2 linked regions of the Oreochromis niloticus genome follow. The protein of the gene in region 1 interacts with the protein of each later gene in a pairwise test. Links are inferred from orthologs where the notes say so. Each region holds a gene or a part of one and is shown on either strand. Other genes may lie near its edges. The genes, in order: mettl21a and protein ZBED8-like.

What was found.
Region 2: the proteins of mettl21a (region 1) and protein ZBED8-like interact in binary tests that used the Homo sapiens proteins (3 or more experiments, as listed by UniProt). The two-hybrid records come from large-scale screens. The link is inferred for Oreochromis niloticus from reciprocal best matches to the Homo sapiens genes METTL21A and FAM200C.

Annotation. Positions count from the first base shown.
Region 1 is NC_031986.2:22,783,495-22,794,290, reverse strand, and holds mettl21a (protein N-lysine methyltransferase METTL21A), read left to right. Parts: upstream 1-5,696; 5' UTR 5,697-6,019; coding exon 6,020-6,166; intron 6,167-6,263; coding exon 6,264-6,375; intron 6,376-7,099; coding exon 7,100-7,497; 3' UTR 7,498-8,219; downstream 8,220-10,796. Other genes in the region: cyclin-Y-like protein 1, read right to left, coding at 1,561-1,596, 2,842-2,942, 3,094-3,128, 3,218-3,292, 3,603-3,762; cyclic AMP-responsive element-binding protein 1, read right to left, coding at 9,251-9,395, 9,494-9,647, 9,909-10,091, 10,752-10,796. UniProt on the Homo sapiens protein: Protein-lysine methyltransferase that selectively trimethylates residues in heat shock protein 70 (HSP70) family members. Contributes to the in vivo trimethylation of Lys residues in HSPA1 and HSPA8.
Region 2 is NC_031981.2:3,365,855-3,376,112, reverse strand, and holds protein ZBED8-like, read left to right. Parts: upstream 1-6,321; 5' UTR 6,322-6,334; coding exon 6,335-8,233; 3' UTR 8,234-8,240; intron 8,241-8,388; 3' UTR 8,389-8,403; downstream 8,404-10,258.

The sequences.
Region 1 (10,796 bases):
GAACTGATGGTTGGACATCCGCCTTCAGGATTTTCTGGTAGAGAGCAGAATTCATGGTTCCATCAGTTACAGCAAGTCGTCCTGAAGCAGCAAAGCAGCCCCATCACACTACCACCACCATGTTTGACTGTTGTTGTGATGATCTTTTTATGAAATGCTGTTAGTTTTATGTCAGATGTAACGGGACTCAAACCTTCCACAAGGCTCAGCTTTTGTCTCGTCAGTCCACAGAATATTTTCTTGGGGATCATCCAGATGTTTTTGGTAAATGTGAGACGAGCCTTTGTGATCCTTTTGGTCAGCAGTGGTTTTCTCCTTGAACTCTTCCACTCTTCATTTTTTCCCAGTCTCTGTCTTATTGTTGAATCATGAACTCTGACCTAAGCTGAGACAAGTGAGTCCTGCAGTTCTTTAGATGTTGTTTTGGTGGTTTTTGCGACCCAAAAGTGAAACTGTCGCTGCGCTCTTGGAGTAATTTGGATAGGCCGGTCACTCCTGGGAGGGTTCGCCACTGTTCCAATTTTTCTTCATTTTTGGATAATGGCTCTCACTGTGGATCCAATCCATGTTCTGTGGATCAAGTGGGGCCAATTACTTTTTTCCCCACACAGGATGAGTGGATGATCTCATTGTACAACTGTATAGTGACAATAAAGGCATTCTATTCTATTCTATTCTATTCTATGAGGATGAAGTAGGCTTGGATAACTTTTTTTGCCTTAATAAACAAAGTCATTTAAAAACTGTATTTTGTATTTACTCAGGCTATGTTGGTCTAATATTCAAATTAGCTTGATGATCTGTAACCTGTAAGTTTGACAAATATGCAAAAAACTAAGAAATCAGAGAGGGGCAAATACTTCTTCACCACACTGTATCTATTCTTTGAGTTGCCACCACCAAGTGCTGTGACTCTGCCTAATTTGGGTCAAGTACGGTTTGGAGTTTTATGGCCAAAGTTGCATCCTTGGATCACTTCCAAGAACACGACTTTAGGGAAAGTAGCTCCTACTTTCCCTAAAGTCGTGTTTTGACAGTTACTACATTTGAAATGCAAATACATTTCATTTCAAACTGAGATGATCCAAACAGAGAACTCAATGTTCAACGTATTATGGGCAGACATGAGATGGAAAAAACTGTTAATTTTAAAAAAGCAATCACAATCTCTTTTTTTTTATAATTTCTTTTGCAATTCTGACCTGATGCAAGCCACCTTCTGGTTTGTTTGTTAATCAGAGCTAAATCTCTGGCTCTCATTACCAGTGATGATCTTTAAAAGCTGTACCCATCTGGCACTTAAGATGATATCCACCTTCTGCATACGTCTGTCATTCATGCATGATGTATTTAGCAATAAGACAAGGCAAGTAGCATTTCCTATAGGACTTAGATGAAGTAATTAAAAATTAGCCTAAGTACTAAAAGCAGTCTTTCTTACAAACTTGATGACTAATGTTTGTAAATATCTTTGTAAATGTTTGTAAATATCGAAGTACTGGTTACAACAATGAAGAAAACGTTGCACTACCAAGAGACAATACTTCTGACATTTCCTACCTGTTTTTTATGTGGTAGTATATGGCCAGTGCAACACTGCAAGAGACAGAAATCAACAAAGAATAAAACACTAGAGCTGGATTTTCCCTTTTACAGCTTTTTATTTTTAAAAATAATTATTTTTACTTCTACTTTACAAATAGATATTTAGATCTTTACAACTGCAGCTATTTGGCGACTTTAAAAGTTACCTGCATTTCAGGAAAAACAAACAGAAACATTTGGCAAATAATTAAACAGTAGACTGACAACATGTCAGTAACATAATTGTGTATAAGAAGAGGATCTTAAAGGGGGCGGAGTTTCTCAGAAGTAAAGATGGGCCAAGGTTTAGTAATCTCCAAAAAAACCCAAAAACCTATGTACAAATTGGGGAACAAATTTAGAATAATGTGCATATGAGGAGACTTTGAATATCTAATAATATTCAGTACATAGTGATACTAAACAATTCACAGAATCTGAAGAAATATCTGTGCACAAAGGACAAGGCTAAAAATCAGTGCCCGTGATCTTCAGGTGGCACTGAATTAAAAACAGGAATATCTCTGTTATGGAAATTACTGTATGAGCTCAGGAAAAAATCCACAAATCACTGTTAAAAGTTCACCATGCCATCCACAAAGGGGGTTAAGCTCTATCATCCAAAGAAGACGTCATATGTGAACATGATCCAGAAACACTGCTGGGGTCAAATCTCACTAAAGAGGAGCAGAACCATCCAGCTTGCCTCTAAGATGGTACGAGGGGCGCATCAGTGCCTATTGAATTGGTAGCTTGGACATCTGGAAAAGCACCATCAATGCTGAAACGCATAATATGGCTTTAGAGCAAGATATGCTGCCGTCCAGAGAGCTTCTTCAAGGAAGTTTTTGCATATTTCAGTAAGACAGTGCTAAACCACATACTGCATGTATTACAAGAGCATGACTTCCTGGTAGAGAAGTCCAGATGCTGAACTTTTCACCAGCTGAAAGCAGCAGCTAGAATCTTATATCAGGACATCATTCCTCTCTCAAATGTCCAGCAGCTGCTCTCTTTAGTTTCCACACTTTTATTAAAAGAAGAGGGGATGCTACACAGCGTTAAACGTGGCCGTGATGCTGCCATCAAATTCAAAATAAACATCTGATAAGTTTAGAATGTTTTAAAGTGAATCAAATCTGTGTTTGTGGAATTTGCAAACCATTGAACTCTGTTTTTTATTCACATTTTACACAGCGTCCCAACTTCTTTTGTACTTGCGCTTGCAGCAGGACTGAGGTGAGGTCGCTCACTTACCATTTAATGGTGCTCTTGAGATTGGGCTGGCTGACTGTGCTGTCATCGAGGAATATGGTTGAACACGAGCTGTACTTTTTAGAAAGGAGTCCCGGGGACATCTGGCATCGAAAGCGTGACAATGTTTAGAGACAGAATGGAGGGAAAAACGGGTTTTAGAAACACATTCAACCCCAGAGAAATGAGATGTATGATTGTGAGTCATTTCAGCAACAAAAAGACCCATGAAGAACACACAGAGCCGTAACTTACGTGATTCATGTAGTTGCTTTTCCTTTTCTCGCGGACTGAAATTGGATAAAAAACAAAATCAAAGAGATGTAGGAGTTTCAGAAGAGAATGGGGTAAAATATTAAAGCATTAGAGAAATACTGACCATCTGTCTGAGACTTGTTGAGGAATAGAGTACTTGCTCTGGGGTGGTCGGATGGGTTGGCCTCTTGGGCCAGCTCTGTAGAAGGAAAGTGTTAAAAGTCTTCATATAAGACTACAGTGTTTGTCTAGGAGCTGCCACCCTGTTGCTGATTTAATGCTAAACGGCTCTTAAAGCATGTAAAACATTTAAACTGAATCACACTGAAGTGTGTGAATGTGTGTGTGAATGGGTGGATGACTGGTTGTGTAAAGCGCTTTGGGGTCCTTAGAGACTAGTAAAGCGCTATACAAATACATTTACCACTTGCAGTAAACCGGCACCAGGACAGGGCAACATCACCGCATGCAATCACATCTCCAAAAATAGCAAACTAATCTTCACACACCATCTGGAAGCTCCCTGTCGCTGATGTGCTGCAGATACGTCCCAGTGTCCTCGCTCACATCTTCGGTAGTAGTGATGGGACACTCCTCCAGCTCCAGCTCTCTCCTGTGAATCTTGGGGCTCTCTCCAGGAGAGATGCAGCAGGACACCGAACCTCCCATCGCTGACCTGCAAAAGTCCTGCAACAGCCAGCGCCGCTTTCCATACAATTGGGGAGAGACCACCTGCTAGTCTGGCAATTCTGAAGCTGCAGGAAGGTCTGCAAGAACTTTAACCCAAACCTTACAAGGGGTTGTTAGGAAATGTACATAAAACACTAGTTTTGCTCTGCCTTGGCGAGATCAGGTTCAATCACAACCTGGAAGTGTTCGGATTATTTGAAAATGTGCATGTTGTGGACCAGCACAGCCCTTGTGTTTTTGCTGCAAAGTGAACGATCTCGCTTCAGAGCAGAACGGGATCTATGCAAGGACAGCCAAGTGGGTATCTGCGGTATTTGCAGGACGGCTGACATATTCAGGGTGTGTGCGCAACTCACGGGTGGCGCACTTTAATATGAACTGCGTGCGTGGGCTGCATGGTTTTGGGCTGAGAATAACCGCTACCAAGTCATTTTACGGAAAACAGTCTAACGAGACAAAGTCAGCCGTTCCTCTGCCTCCCTCCATGGCTAGCCGGCTAACGCTAGCTTCCGCACCTCAGTCCACTGCTGGCTCCTCCAGCAGCGTGACTCAATCCATTTTCACTCCGGCTCAAGTCTGTGTCACCGCTGCGGCCCTTTCAGCGAGAGCACCGGGCGAATTCACCAGCCGGAAGGGTTTTTAGAGGAAACGGGGAAAGTGAACGGCCAGCGGATATCAAAGAGGTGTCCGGAGGTGGCGTTCATCTCGTCGCACTAGCGGGACACAAGCTTTAGATGTCAAAGCGACCGTAGCAGGTAAGTTCAGAGGTAATTTCCTGCTTTGGGTTTTCAAAGTAAAAGTCCGCTGGTGGTAACATCAAAAGCACGTGTGAAACTGTTAAAAAAACCAGATAGAAAATAACTAATAAAATATTTATTAAACCTATTCAAGCTGTCTGCTTAAAATAAAATAAAAGTGTAAGCTGTTGAATTAAAAATAAAATAAAAAACTTAGTGAAAAGAAAACTTCAAATGATTTGTTGTTCATATAAATAAAAACGTTTATGCTGAACACTCTTTCTTAACAGACACCTATAAAAGATAATAAGTCTTAAAATAATTTAAGCAACAGCCCATTTCAATACAGTTTTCATAAGTTTCTCTTGTTTTATCTATTTATTTTTATTTCAGATTTATTTCCAAATCTTTGCTCAAAAACACCATGCATGTAATAATTCAACAACCTTTTCAACAACTAGGTTTTCATTTTTGTCTAATTTACTCAACCAAGGCATGTTTCAGTATTTTTTGTGCATCAGTTATTTTCAGTATTATCAATAGATAGCTGCCATGGACCCGTAGCTGCAATAGATGCCAGTGGTGGCAGGTTCTTACTAAGAAAATATCCACCACTGTGCAGCCTTTTCATATTCGATGAAAATATGTATTTTTTTTTCTTTTTTATTTCTTATGTCTATACTGTCAGCACAGAGTCTCTTCACGCAGATCAAAAACCCTTTATTTGCAGTACACCGGAAGCTACATCGCTGCTATGTGTTGCTACCTTTACAGACCTGCTGGGTTTTTTTCAGACCACGCCCCCCTCGATTTTAGCTAAAACACAACACCGTTAATCTCCAAAAGTTGAATCTGTTCATCTGGACGTAGCGTTTTGTGGGAGAAACGTTTCGTCACTCATCCAAGTGACTTCTTCAGTCTCAGCTGACTGCAGTTTTCCCCAACCCTTATAAACAGTACATTTGCATAATGACTGAAACCAGCCCACTGAAGGAACAATGGGCTGTGAGGTCAGTTCCTTAATCATAATTATGCAAATTCCCATGACCATTGATCAACAATCACTGACAACACCGTTAAGAAAATCTTGCAGACACGCCCATCACAAAGACTTACTCTTTTCCCATTGGTCACTTTTAGCTGAGCTGTTACGTGATTGGCTAAATTTGTTCGTTGACGTCAACACGGGTTGCCGTCTTCAGTTGCTTGAAAGCGAATAGGTCTCTCGCTCTTCAGTATTTATTAAAGAAAATAAGCAAACTATCAACACTTTGCCAACCGCCAATAACATTTAAGAAGAAGAAGAACTATCAACGCTAAAAGTTGGTTCATATACCGTAAGAACATTCTTTAACAAACGAATGAAATAATAGCTATATAATAACTCCAGAAGATGGCGGAAACGAATCAATGAGCCAGCCAGGTACGAGGGAAAGCGTCGAAGAAGGAGGAACGCACTGCGCATGTGTAAACGAGTGTAGTTTTATTTATTTCAAAGCATGGCTCTCGTTCCATATGTAGAAAACCCGTTGCCCGCGCTTTCCAAACTCCACAATTCATCAGCACAGTTTAGGTTTGCCAACCGCGACCTCCGACTCGCTCAGGACTGGAAAAAGCTCGGTGTGGCGGCAGTTGTGTGGGATGCGGTACGTTACAACAGTGGCAGCAGTGCTTAGCTTCAATAATTCCTCCATGTTTCATTAGATATATACATTACTATTGCATTTATGTGTTATTGCCCAGGCGGTGGTCATGTGTATGTACTTGGAGCTGGGAAAAGTGGAGCTAAAGGGGAAGAAAGCAATTGAATTGGGAGCTGGCACTGGTCTGGTGGGCATTGTAGCAGCTCTGCTGGGTGAGTGCATAATTACTAACCACCAAAAAACTGGAGGTGGGCGGATCACTCCAAATATCAGTAGTATCAGTACCAATGCTGCTATTGGTATTAGAATGATACTAGCCGAAAAGGATCAGCACTTTGTTTCAAACCTTTAAGTTCTGTATGTACACAAAAGAACTGTGTTAAATAAATTAATATAAAATAATGAAAAATATACACACATATATAACACATTTTGAGGAGTTTTTTGGAGACCTTGAATTTAAATGTGCATGTGTTAAAACACTGTAGGTCAGCTTAAGTTGTTTAAATGTGCTGCTACAGGCTTTAAATCACAGAGACGTCACAGTATGTATCGATCCTATTGTGCTGGTATCGAAGGATATTAATACCATCGATATTTGGGTTAATCTGCCCACCTTTATCCAAAAACTGAAGTTGTTTTTTTGTTGTGTTAACTCATTATCGTGGAAAATTAAAATGAAATTGATTTAGTGGTCATTAAAATTCGTTCAGGATTCATCTCATAAATCATGACACGCTACTCTTCGCTACATAATCTCCCTTAATAGGTTTAAAGTATCCATATTGATATCAGCAATACTGGCCCTGTATTTACTATGTATCAGACCGATACCAAAATTTGCAGTATCTCACAGCACTATCAAAAAGCCTTCTGAGTGCGCGTCAGGTGAACAAGGAAAGCTGTGATAGTCCCACAACTCTAACCCTTCCGTAGGTGCCAGAGTGACCATCACTGACAGAGAGCCTGCGCTGGACTTCCTCTCCGCCAACGTGAAAGCAAACCTGCCCCCAGATTCCCAACAATCAGTGGTGGTCTCCGAGTTGACCTGGGGCGAGGGCCTCGAGCAATACCCAGCCGGAGGGTTTGATGTGGTTCTGGGTGCAGATATCGTTTACCTGGAAGACACGTTTTTGCCTCTGCTGGAAACACTGGAGCACCTGAGCTCAGACACCACTGTGGTGTTACTGGCCTGCAAGCTCCGCTATGAGCGAGACACAAACTTCCTAGGCATGCTTAAGCGGCGCTTCACCGTCGAAGAAGTCCACTACGACAAACAAAGAGACATACACCTATACAAGGCTTGCAAACTGACACAGAGGAGAGACTTGTGAACATTTGTTTGTTTTAATATATGAAATAAAATGTTTTAAAATCAGATTACCAGAAACACATTTATTTATTAACAGCTGCCAAAAGTGTCATATCTGAATAGCTCTAACGTAATGCACTGTATTATTATACAAGTTGTTGCTGACATTTAGAAATAGTGAATACAAAAAAAAAAAAAAATGAGAAGCAACATAAAAAGCATACTATATCATGACTATACATAATACCTAAAGAATACAATATGGCATCCCATTATCACAAAAATATTTTTTCTTTCAGAATGCACCAACACCACCTGATCTTATAGTCATTTCACAAAGTGGGTGCAGTTGAGTTGTATCTGGTGAGCTTTGATGCTCCATTTACAAAAAAAAAAAACAAGTGATCAAACACATTGATGCAACAGCACTTGATTAACTGCAGATGAGCGGTAGATTTACCCAGAAAGCGTTGAAATGCTGAAGGATTGTAAATGCAAAGAAAGTGCACATGCTAGCTCATAACTATAAACAGAATTAAGAGACGGCGACCGAGGCCTCGACACACAGAGGGGCCCGGTATGGCAAATTTCCCCCTATGATCTAATTCCATGATTCCAGTGCTTTATCCACTTGTCTCTGAATTCTGCTTAAAAACTCTTTCATTGCATAACAAGTAAGGCTCATTAAGTTTTTGGTTATTGTTCAAAAATAATCCATGAGTCTATGGAGGGGGAAAAAAAAAAAAAAGGTTTTGCTTACAGTATATAATCTCTGATAAACGGGCAGCAGCTTATTTATCCATTATTCCCACTTCCTGTACTGTTGAAGGCCCATTTTGCCTTTGTTTGTTTTTACCACCAAACTCTGGTAATTAACAGGACGCCATTACGCAATTTTCCACTTAATGTTTCTGAAGCTTAAAAAAAAATGAAGACAAAAAGTCAAACATTTCTAGGGCTCTGTTAGAAGACCCTCCCCCCACCCACTTCACTGCTGCCCAACTTCTACCATCTCCTCACTGTGCTGCAGTTAACATGAAAAAAACCATTTTACAACTAAATGGTTAGCTTTTTGTTCACGTTGTATAAAAGCAAAAATATACTTGGGTAAAACAAAGAAAAAAAGAAACATGGCATTGTAGAAGCATAATCTAATTCAGAACAAACCAAAACACACATCTTAAAAGATAAAAACGTCCAAGACACAGGCCACCTATAAGTTTGAAGCATTAATAAGTAACAGATGTTAATTCGAGAGTTACAGATAGAAATGTTTTACGTGAAGTTACACTCTCCCAAAGAAAAAAAGAAAAAGTTCCATCATCATCATTATCGGTGGTGCTTGCGGTCAGTTCCCCCATTGCTGGTGATGTTGCCCAGGTAGTCCGGGCACCAGTGACTGGAATGCTTCCCTTCGGTGGTGTCCTTGGCGAGAACAGCTAGTTTCCCTGCTCTGTCACCTTGCCACGCAGACCCTGTTTAAGTTGCAGTCTCCTCCACGTTCACTGTGAGCACCGCCTCATCCTTTTAATGGGGGAAAACTGATGGTTGATTTCAAATTGCTCAAATGGGACAAAGTTTCAATTTACCAAAGTGGGATGGGGCTTTTTTTGTTTTTTCATACCTGGTGAGTCACGTTCACATATTTTTCAGCAGTTTTTAAAAAGAAAGCAGAAGAGTAGAAAAGAGGAGGGGGCATCCAGATGCATGGCTCTGTGCTGAGTCTCTGTACACAAGTGCTGGGGATCACCTGTCAAACCACCGGCAGGTGTATTCTACTCTGATTTGTGGCAGTACAAGTCTTTGAGGGCTTTCAGTTCCTCAATGAGGGTTTTGTTCTGGTTTTCCAGCACGGCCACGCGGTTCTCCAGACACTTCACGTACTCCTTCTTCTTCCTACGGCACTCGCGGGCTGCCTCCCTGTGAGACAAGAGGATGTGGGTACATGAAGGTACAGCACATCAGCTTCACACCTACAGAAGCAATTCAGTACGAGTTGCTAATTAACCTCGCCATACCTGTTTTTCATCAGTCGGACCTCCCGTTTGCGTGTAACTTCCTCAGTGGCTCCTGATCCGCTGATTGTGGGTGGAGTTGCCATGACCACCCCAGGAGTGATGGTGCTAGTGGGGGCTGTGCGGATTTGATAGGCCTGGACATCACCAGAAGCAGCTGGTGAACAAAGATAGACAAACAGTCAGTGCTTTATTCAGCAAAGCTTTACAAATCGTGTAGTTTCAGAATCAGAATCGTGTTTATTGGCCAAGTATATGTGCAGACAAATACAAGGAATTTGGTTCCGGTAGATGGTGGCTCTCGAGCACAGCAATGTAAATCACACACACGTATCTATATATACATTACACATGCATACACATACATACAGTTTTAGTGTAACTTCACTTCTAAACACTGTGGAAACCATTTTCCCACCTTGCACGACCACCTGGTTACTGGGCACGAGGATCTGCTGCCCGTCGCTGGTCTGAGCATACTGCAGGATGGTGGCGCCAGGCTGGGCTGCAGCAGTGTTGGCCATGGTGAGCGTCTGCAGGCCCTGCACTCCATCCGTGCCATTATTGGCCAGCTGAATGGCTCCACCTTGGGTAATGGCAACTGCAGAAGGATAAAATTGTGCATTAGGATTTTTAACCAATTGCTTTCTGTGTTGTTCTCCTACATCCAATACTGTAAACATTACTGGATATGTGGCTCCACACAAACTGTCATATCACAAATATTGTTTTTGTAGGAGGAAAAGAAGGAAAATACTGGACTTAACATCATTCATTCATAATATCCACAGGTTTTCTAAACTGCATTAAGTCTGTACAGGTCAAGGATAATCTTAACACTGTTCTTTAATGTTGGAAACATTAAACAGGGTCTGAATCAAAGCATCAAATGTGGCCTTTTTGCTGATTGGCCATCCCTGAAAAACAGGTTTGAAAAGCAGGTGATGGGGCTTTGACACGTGCAGCAAGAGTTGTGCATTTAGGGATATTCCATCTCTATGACATCATAGGATCTAACAGTAGGGGGGAAAAAAAACCTCACTCATAGGGATTACTTGTTTAACATGAGCATCCACCACTGTAACAGCATGTAGAAAAAGCATAATAGGTTCCCTGTCTGCTTAATCTGTTTATCAAGTCATTTGATTTAGCAAATTTAGATAGTCTCACTGCACGACAGCAGAAGTAGAATGCTCGATTACGATAACACCGACTTATTTTTAAGAAAAAACACCAGCTATCTGTGTCTCAAAGTACTTACTGTACTGGCCACTGCTGGTCTGATATATGGGAGTGGGCATGGTGA
Region 2 (10,258 bases), on another chromosome or scaffold:
AAAGGATCAAGGTGTGATGGGGATACAATCAGAGGTGTAGGATTCTGGTTTGTCTCCTGAATCCTTCACACAGTTTCCTGGATGTGGTGGAGGTATGGGAGAGGGAGAGCTGGGGCTGGAGGGTAGAGGCAGTTTCTGAGAGGGATGAGTTAGGGGAGAGGAAGGTGGAGAGGGGAAATGGTAGGAATCAAAGTTTCTTTCTCCTCACTCCTCCTTCTTTCGTTGTCTTTCCTCTGCAGTTTCCTCTTCCCTCCATCTCCTCCAAGTCTTTTCCTTCCTTTCTTTTCCTCCTCTCCTCCCTCCTTCTTTTTCTCCACCTTTTAAGCTTTCTGATTTTTGTGCCACGACCTCTTCCTGTTCCTTTTCTAAAGTGCAAGCTGTTTGACAAAAAAAATGTAAGTTAAAGATTCTGTATTAAACTGTGAAACATTCTGAAACCAGCTTTTGGGATCCAACGGAACATTATTGTGAAATCAAACGATCAGCTCAGGCTGCGAACCTGAAGCTGTTGGATCCTGCTGATGAGGAGTTTTGTCTTTTTCTGCCTCTCTTGCTCCATCCCACTGATTCCCTTCATCCAGAAATTCTCAGAAAGAACGTTTCTCTCGTTCTCCTCCTGCCGGACTTTGGTTATGCAGGATTCCTCCTGCCGAGCAACGTTATCTAAGAGCAGCTCAGGCGCCGTTCCATTCTACTTCTTTTCTCGCAGTGGAGGAGGCCAGCGTGCGCTTTCATCCGAGGTGTTGGTTTTTCACAGATTTTTCGCTGACCTCGTCTTTTTGTGTGAGGTTGTTATGGAGCTGTCTTACCTTTGTTTCATGCCCATCTTCTTGGATAGCGATCTTTTCTTTGAGAGAGCTGTGTTCCTCATTTAGAGTTTTCATTTCTTTTATTGTTGAGGATCCTGCGTCTCTTAGCTCTTGCACGGTTGCTGATTGTAGCAGCTGGTTTGTGGGTTGCTGCTGACTGAGTGCAGTGTTGTCTCAGCTGATGCTCGCTGTAAAAGGCAGCACAAATGTGAACTAGGCCTAATGCCTGAAAGCATAAATGTAGCTATTGCAAAAATCCAGCCTGATTCTTATCATTAGATACACATAAAAACACAATGTGTCTACTTATGTATGCACCACATTCACTCCAGCACGCCACATACTGACACTTGGCTATAGGACCTGCTGTTATCCAAGGACAGCAAATGTTGCCACATGGGATTCTTAGGTTTCTTATTTCCACACTTACACAGACATTTCTTTAAATGTGGATTTTTCCTCGCTTGATTTGAAACACAAAAACTCAAGAAATGATCTCAAGCTATTTCAAGTTCATGGCAGAGCGACAGGTGGCGCTATAATGCACACTGTGAAGAAATGTTGCCAATCAAAAACCTGCAAATGATAACATGGCACATAATGTGACATCAAAAAAGGAGCTAAAGGCACCTTTGAAGATGTGGAATTAAATCTCAATTTTCCATATCCACATGTAAATGCAAAAATGGAGTTTTGGAAAATCTTCACCCTGGTAGATTTTCACAAGCGATCCAAAATGGCGTTTATATAAACTTTCCATAACACCTATGCCACTGCAGTAGCAACGCAGGATGAGAAGCACGTTAGCTGTTGCATTTGACAAGATCCTTAACCAAGATCAAGATTTGGCAAGAAAGCGATGACGCCAACCTGGTGATTTGGCCAGCTGAACCTTAGTGTCCAACAAATGCAGGTAGAGGCACCTGATTAGTCTTGGTGCTTTATGGACTTCCTGCCTAAACATAGGAAATGTTAAGAATGCCGGTCTGGTGTCATGTTGTGAGGACAGCAACCTCACCCTCAACACTGATAAAACAAAGGAGATGATTGTGGACATGAGGAAGAAGAAGAGGCCTCACCAGCCGTTGCTTATCCCTGAGCGTGAAGTGGAGAGGGTGAGCAGCTTTAGGTACCTGTGCGTCCACATCAGCGAGGACCTCACCTGGACACTAAACACCACACAGCTGCCCTCTCTGCAGAGCATCTACCATCGCAGAGTCCCGAGGAGCGCTGCCTCCATCCTCAAAGACCCCACACAGCCCCACCACGGACTGTTCACACTTCTCCAGACGAAGGTTTAGGTGTGAAATCCAGAACATCCTGACTCAACAACTCCGTCTTCCCCACTGCTATCACACTCCGGAACAGCTGACCTACCTCAACTGCAATTTGCACTTCAGACACTTTGCACACTAAGTTCATTTTGCACATTAAGCTCCTTGTGTATGTTTCTGTTCTGTGTCCTGTGTACTGTTTGTTTGTATATGTGTCTTTCTGGCTGCTGTTACAACCAAATTTCCACCTGTGGGGCAATTAAAGGATTATTCTATTCTATTCTATTCTATTCTATTCTATTCTATTCTATTCTTGTACATCCATCTACATCGACATCTGCATACCACACTTGTCTTCCCTTACTTATTTTGTACTTATTTATTTATCTTCCTTTATTTTTATCCATATTTCTCTTTATTTATCTTGTTCTTTTAACCCTTACCCACCTTGGCATTTGTGTATGGACAGCAAAGGAAAAATTTCATTGCACAGAGAAATGCTATTTCTTCTGTACATATGACAATAAACGCTTTGAATCTTGAATCTTAAGTAGTAAGTAGTAGACCCATAGGCACTCCAGGGCCAGGACGCGATGTGTCTCAGTGCTTCCTCCCCTCACTCAAGTGAAGCTGAGAACAGAAAAGCAGCCGAACACCCAGGAAAGCAGATGACTGATTACAGATCTTCCTTGCTGAACTTAAGCAGAATCTTCACTGAAACAGAGGAGCTGATGCTTCAGTTCAAACGGCCTGAGGCACAAAATGAAAAGTAACTGTCCACATACTTACGAACTGAACTCTACATATCACTATACACGGCGTGCAACGTGGCACAAGCTGTACAGCCTACAGTAGAGCAGAGTGACACCACAAGGTACAGTAGTTCTGGCATTTTATTCCCTGCTGCTCTGCTGTAGTCAGCCCTTTGGCTTCTCTGCTCTCTGCTGCCAAAACCTCCAGCCAGGCTGCTCGGCTCAAAGTGGGAACACTGGTCGCGGCAGCCAAAGTTTGATAAGCCACAGAGCAGCGTTCCTCTCCTCTGCCATCTTCACAGAGCTCTAACTGTGGTTAATAAAAGCAGATGATTCATTAGTGGTGATTAATATTGGGCTATGGGGACGTTAACTGCTGGCGATTGAGTATTTTATTGAGCTTCTTTTACTGTTGCACTCACTGGAAGTAGTTTGGGGCTGGAGCCAGATGCTTAAAATATAAATGTACAATTAGAGTGGACGTGGAGGATTGAGAAGCGTTGGCGTGCTCTCTGTAATGTAACACTGAACCTCCATCGTGGCGAGGATCACAATTTTATAAAAAATATTTTACTAGTCTTGGAGGATCTAATTAATACTTCTGCACACATTATTATACCCTCGAGGACACTGATACTTGCAGTAACACTAGATCTCACTAGTGAACCACTCCAAAGGCCCTTTTACATAAAGTTCAGCAAATACATTTAGTAGATGATGAAATGGTGAGTATTATTAACCCACTTAGCTCCAACCAAAAGCAGCAGTTGTATGGACAGAATAGCAACGACATTCAGAGTCCAACCAGAACCTTGTAGATTAGAAAGAGCAATTCAGACGTTCCTCCATACTTAGTGATGATAACTGCAAAAAGACACAGGTACTCAGCAGCCTCACTTTAATGTAGCAATATAACTGAGCTGTACTCGTGGGTGCAGATTGGCAACATGTTGCCAATCTGTCTGTGTTTATAAAGGAGTGGGTTAGGATTGTTCGATATAACGATATATATCGGATGATAATATGAACACCTCTATCGTTTCATATTATACCCTTTTGTTTGTTTCGTGGTGTCGCAAAATAAACTGTTTACGTGAATATGTTTTCACGGTTTTGATGGTCACTGTAGTAGCTATGTTAATTTCTTAAAGTTCTCTTTTATGTATTTATTATTTATTACACTACGGACGGACAAGCGAATGTGTTTACACGTTGTCATTAGCAACAATAACGGTAAAGCCGGCGTGTGGCTTCGCCGTCCGCTTGTTTATTTTCCACATAAACCTTTCACAATAAAGCTGAAGATCGTGTTGAGATTTTTCAAAATAAACTGAAATGATATACATTATTGTCAAACATCAAATTTCAGAAGATGCATCAAACAAATTACCTCAAATGAAAACATGAAGTAATGATAAATGGCGCTTATAGTAACCACATGGATGCAGGGACAGAGAATCCCAGCATGGCCAGTGAAGATGAGGCAGAGCCAGTTGGCTCCAAACAGAAGGACCAGTCAAAACAAATCGAGGACTTTATTCCTAAACGAGGGGCTACCTCTGTAGCATGGACATGGTTTGGTTATGAAAAGTCTGACACGAACCAGAAAACTGTACTATGGAAATTATGCCGCAAACCGGCCCCCACCTCAGACTCAAACATGGCAAAATAAATGTCTCATCAGGATATGAGATTTTGGTCATATCGCACATCCCTAGAGTCAGTAGTTATTTGCAAATCGTTGCTAGTCTGTCTGGGAGTGATTGCAGTCAGTCCAAGTTGGAATGCAATTCTCTGGAGATTGGTTGTCCTGTGCAGGCAACCAGAGGGTGGGGCTATTTTACGAGCAAAGAGGTGGGTATTTGGATAAAAGGTTATCCTCTAAGCCAGGGGTCGGCAACCTGCGGCTCTTTAGTCCTTATACTGCGGCTCCGCTTGGTTTGGGCAAATAAATTAGAAGTATTTAGCTGAAGTGTATTTTATTTATGTTAGTTCTTTTTAACTTGTAGTTCTAAATTGGAAGATTATTGTGATATTGAAATATAAAAATAAAATGATATTCTATTATTTTTTCATCGCTCAAAATAAGAGTCACACTCGCGGAAGCCGGTATACCCGCCGAAACGCCGTGCATTTATCGAGACTTTCAACCCCAGGTAGGCCAATTATGGATCTTCGGATCCACATTATGTCAGCAGCTGTTCTCCACCGTGAACTATGTTAAAGACAAACACCGTTCACGCCTGACAGATGACAGCTTACAGTCCTGCGTAAACTGACTTTGTATAGCCCCGATTTGCGGACTCTGTGCGCAGAGGTTCAGGAGCAGAAGTCCCATTGTAAACATATCACGGCAGACCCGACGATGTTTCCATGAGCATGCTTTTGAGCATCTCTTTATTGAGCACTTTTCACACACGGTTGCTGTATGCATACAGCCGGCTGTAGCTTTTCAGCTCACAGCCCGACAACACAACAGCACAGATAGCGCAGACTTTAAGGCAGCGAGGCGTGATTGCGGGTGTCGCTCAGGTGCGTCCGCCTCCCCTGCAGCGGCGCTGCAAACCACGCCCCGCCGCACGCATTAACTAGGTAAAATACATATTTAGGCAGAATTTTGCAAATATCTATTTTTCATTTTTCAGCAGCATAGTGCTTTTTTCCAATTATTTTTTAAGAGTCAGGTCAAGGCTCCAACAGCCCAAAGGGGATATAAGGGTGGGGCTGACAACAGTTTTTGTTTGCTACATGGATCATTTTAGTTCAGGTTGGTGTCTTTCCTTTTATTATATTTCTTTAAGAGTTCAAAATGTGTTGATTACATAAATATAATGTAATTTTCTCTGTAGCACTTCATGGATTTCATAAGCAACACACTTAAGTTGTTCACACAAAGCATAAAGATAAAAAACAATATATACAGTGTTATCTTCATTTTAGATGTCAAAAAGTATTTGCGGCTCCCAGTGTTTTCTTTTGCGTGGAAACCGGGTCCAAATGGCTCTTTGGGTGTAAAAGGTTGCAGACCCCTGGTCTAAGCTAATGTTGGGCTCGAGTGTCCTCAAAATCACACTTTCCCTCTGTTAAGTTTGATTACATGCTGACATTGCGTGAGAGTTTATTCGCTAAGTGTCCCACTTCAAAGAAAGTTTCACTAACGCCAGCGAACAGCACCAAAGACAGCAGCGCTTACCAAAAGAAAGGTTCCGGATATTCTCAACAACTCACCTCAGTATCGCTGTCTTTGGTCAGAATTGAGCTTCACTGACTCACTGACAAGTTTTACAGCGTTCTCCAGAGACATGGACACCTGACTCTAAGGCAGTGGTTCTTAACCTGGGTTCGATCGAACCCTAGAACCCTAGGGGTTTGGTGAGTCTGTCTCACGGGTTCGGCAGAGCCTCCACCGCGGAGTTCGCAGAGGTCCAGACACACCCGAATTATCGTGTAAATTTGTGATGACACTCCCCCTTCTGGCCATCACTGGCTGCAGACGATCATGCTACACTGCTTGGCCAATCAGGGCTGCGGGGAATGTAGCGCGCGCAGTAGTCAACATGTGAATGTCGTGGTAGTACTAAGTGTGATTTTTTTTTTTAACATTTTAATCCATACTATGTCGGGCAAAAGAAGAAAGTGGTCGGACGAATATGTACAATATGGATTCACATGTATCACGGAACGTGATGGGAGTGAGCGTCCTATCTGCATGATTTGCAATGCCAAGTTGAGCAACTCTAGTCTCGCACCAGCAAAACTAAAGGAACACTTCTTGAAGCTGCATGGAGACGGGGAATACAAGAACACAACACTTGCTGAATTCAAGGTGAAGAGAGCCAGATTCGATGAAAGGCCCACTCTGCCTGCTCTTGGATTTGTACCCGTTAGCAAACCGATCCTCACAGCATCATACGAAGTTGCTTACCTGATCGCAAAGCAGGGCAAGCCACACACCACTGGTGAAACACTCATGAAACCAGCTGCGTTAAAGATGGGAAATCTGATACTCGGAACAGCGGCCGAAGGTAAATTATCCCAAATTCCTCTTTCAAATGACACCGTCAGCGACAGAATAGAAGACATGAGTAAAGACATCTTGGCTCAAGTAGTCGCCGATCTGATTTCAAGCCCGGCAAAATTCAGCCTTCAGCTCGATGAGAGCACAGACGTTGCTAATCTAAGTCAGCTTACTGTTTTTGTGCGCTATGTGAAAGACGACATGATAAAAGAAGATTTTTTATTTTGTAAGCCTCTTACAACAACAACTAAGGCAGCCGATGTGAAGAAGCTTGTGGATGACTTCTTCAGAGACAACAATCTTTCATGGGACATGGTTTCTGCAGTTTGTACGGACGGAGCTCCAGTCATGCTGGGAAGAAACTCTGGTTTTGGTGCGCTAGTAAAAGCCGATGCACCACACATCATTGTGACTCATTGTATTTTGCACAGGCATGCATTGGCAACAAAAACCTTGCCTCCAAAAATGGCAGAAGTATTAAAAACTGTGGTGGAATGTGTGAACTATGTGCGAAATAGTGCTATGAGGCACCGCATCTTCAGTGAGCTGTGTAAAGAAGTGGGCTCTGAATTCGAGGTACTTCTGTACCATTCTAATGTTCGGTGGTTATCCCGGGGACAGGTGCTGAATCGTGTTTTTGCCATGCGTGTGGAATTAGCCCTGTTTTTGCAAGAGCACCAACACTGTCATGCAGATTGCTTCAAAGATCCTGAGTTCATTCTCATTTTAGCGTACATGGCTGATATATTCGCAGCTCTCAATCATCTCAATCAGCAGATGCAGGGTGGTGGAGTCAATATCATAGAAGCGGAAGAACACCTGAAGGCTTTTCAAAAAAAGCTAACGTTATGGAAACGGCGAACAGAGAACAACAACTTCGCAAACTTCCCCCTTCTGGACAACTGTGTAAGTAAGATCGAAGATGTGTCTGGAATCGGAGATATTTCTGTATCCACGGAACTGAAGCAAACAATTGCAACGCACTTAGATGAGCTTGCAAAGTCTCTCGACAGATATTTCCCTAAGAGAGTCATATCCAGCATGGGTGAGGCAGCGTTTGCTGTTGAGACAGCAGATGTCAATGATGAATACCTTGACGAAATCATTGAAATTCAGCAGAGCCAGGTTCAACAGCAACTCTTCAGAACAACAACGCTCTCAACGTTTTGGTATCCAATTATTGCTAAGAAAGCCCTGGATTTTTTAATACCATTTGTTACAACATATCTTTGCGAGCAATCCTTTTCGACGATGCTGGACATAAAAACAAAGAAAAGGAACAGACTTTTCTGTGAAAATGACATGAGAGTGGCACTTGCCAAGGTGAAGCCACGCATATCTGAACTGGTCTCTCAAAGGCAACAGCAGAAGTCACACTGATTTGCAGGTATGTAATTTGTTGTAAGTTCATGCATTGTGTTGGTTTTGTTCTTTGAACAAGGTGATGTTTATGCACGGCTCATTTTGTGCACCAGTAAAAAACATATCTATGTCTTGAATTTGAAAAAAATAAATAAAATTATTTTTCACTAAAGAGGGGTTCGGTGAACGCGCATATGAAACTGGTGGGGTTCGGTACCTCCAACAAGGTTAAGAACCACTGCTCTAAGGTAAACAGCGGACTATGTACTCGAATTGGGGGCAAGAAAACTGAATTCAGCTGCTACCAACCTAAAAGTTCACGTTTCTATTAACCATTATACTTACCCATAAGCATTTTGTTTTTTTCAGGGATGTAGTCCTTTAAAATGTCTCGATGCATGTTCAATCATCCAGGTAAGTAAATCCCAAAAGGTTGATTCTGTTCATCTGGACGTTTTCAGTGGGAGAAACGTTTCATCACTCATCCACTTCTAGTCACATGTCATTGCTGTGATTGGTCAAACTTTGCTTAAGTCCCTTCAGCGGGCATTACACCAGACTTGTTTAAGCAAATTAAAAGATAAAAATGTCCTGTGGAATCTTTTTGTAGATAAACAATAAAGTTTACACTTTATGTTTCTCAACAACAACAAAAAAAACCAACCTGATCAATAACTCCACTATTTAAAATGAGCTTATTTAAAGGATGTAAAATATGGTATTGTTATTCATCACCAAGAGCCAAAGTGAGGGCAGTCATGGGTAAATACATATACATACAAATTATCACGTACTCGTTTGGGCCCAAATTGCAGTTCTGTCATTTTCTGTCAATGAAAAACATAATTTTGGATGAACTGTCAGGGCTGGAGGTGATGAATCGGTTTCAACATTAGATCCAGTCTTCTCTTTAATTCTGCGCTTTTTTCACTCTCTGTCTGAAAAGGCTGAATTGGCTCGTCACATTCCTCGCCATTCTCAACCCCACAGATGGACAGGGGGAGGGAGGCCGCCAGATTACATTAGCAGATCCTTGTCCTGTTTCTTTCTTTCTCTCTCTTTTTTTTTTTTTTACCCCCTCCTTTTATATAATTTTCTATGCTGAGAGCTACCCGCCAAAGAGGGCCACCCCCGCTTCCCTTTCCAAATCCCTTCTGCACATATAACAAGACTCTCCACCTTTGGTTACCTCAGGTGACAATTTACAATTTAGACCACACAGAGGCTGTTCACACACGTACACACACACACATTGGCTAGCAAAGAGTCCTTAACATCCCGCCCCCCTTCTGCTTGACCCCCTTAAAAACCCATTTTAATCAGGGAAGGAACTGTCTACCCAGAGCAGCCTGAACACTTAATACCTCAAACAGGTTCATCTTGTTACCGAGCAAATAAATCCCGCTCACAGACACGCTGAGTTGAGACGTGGCTTTAGGAGGCCTGAGGGTGGTTTCTTTTGACTGCAGTGAAAGCATGCAGCGGCCGTGAGGCCCGATCCACCATCTCTGCCTTTGTAATATAGCCATGAATACAAATGGCCCCGCTAATTCACTCAAACTCCTAACAACGCTCATTTCCCCTCCTGCCAGAGGTCATTTGGCGCTGTGTTCCTCTCGCAGCTCCTTTTCCTCATTACATCTGCCTCCCGTGGGACTCCTAATCTTCAACGACTAAACATTCTCAAAATTGCGGCACGCTAAAGTTACTCCCACTCCTGTTTAGATTTAACACGTGTGAAGTTTTATTTTTTTGGTGCTGGGCCCCGTTTCTTTTTTTGGGTTGTTTTCTGTGTGACCTCAGCGTCGTGTCAAGATCAGCCTCGGATTGCGAGCTCAGCTGGAGACAATCCAGACCTCTGGCAGCCCTGACAGCAACTTCCCAGGATCTGAGATGCTGCCAGGTCACTCTGGTGCCACCAGGCCTGGAGCCACGGCCGCAACCACAAGGAGTCCTAGAGTCAGACTTGGGGACCACAACAAGATGCTAGGCTACAGGGAGAGACGGGACACAGAGAGAGAAATAAGAGTTCTGCAGAGCCTT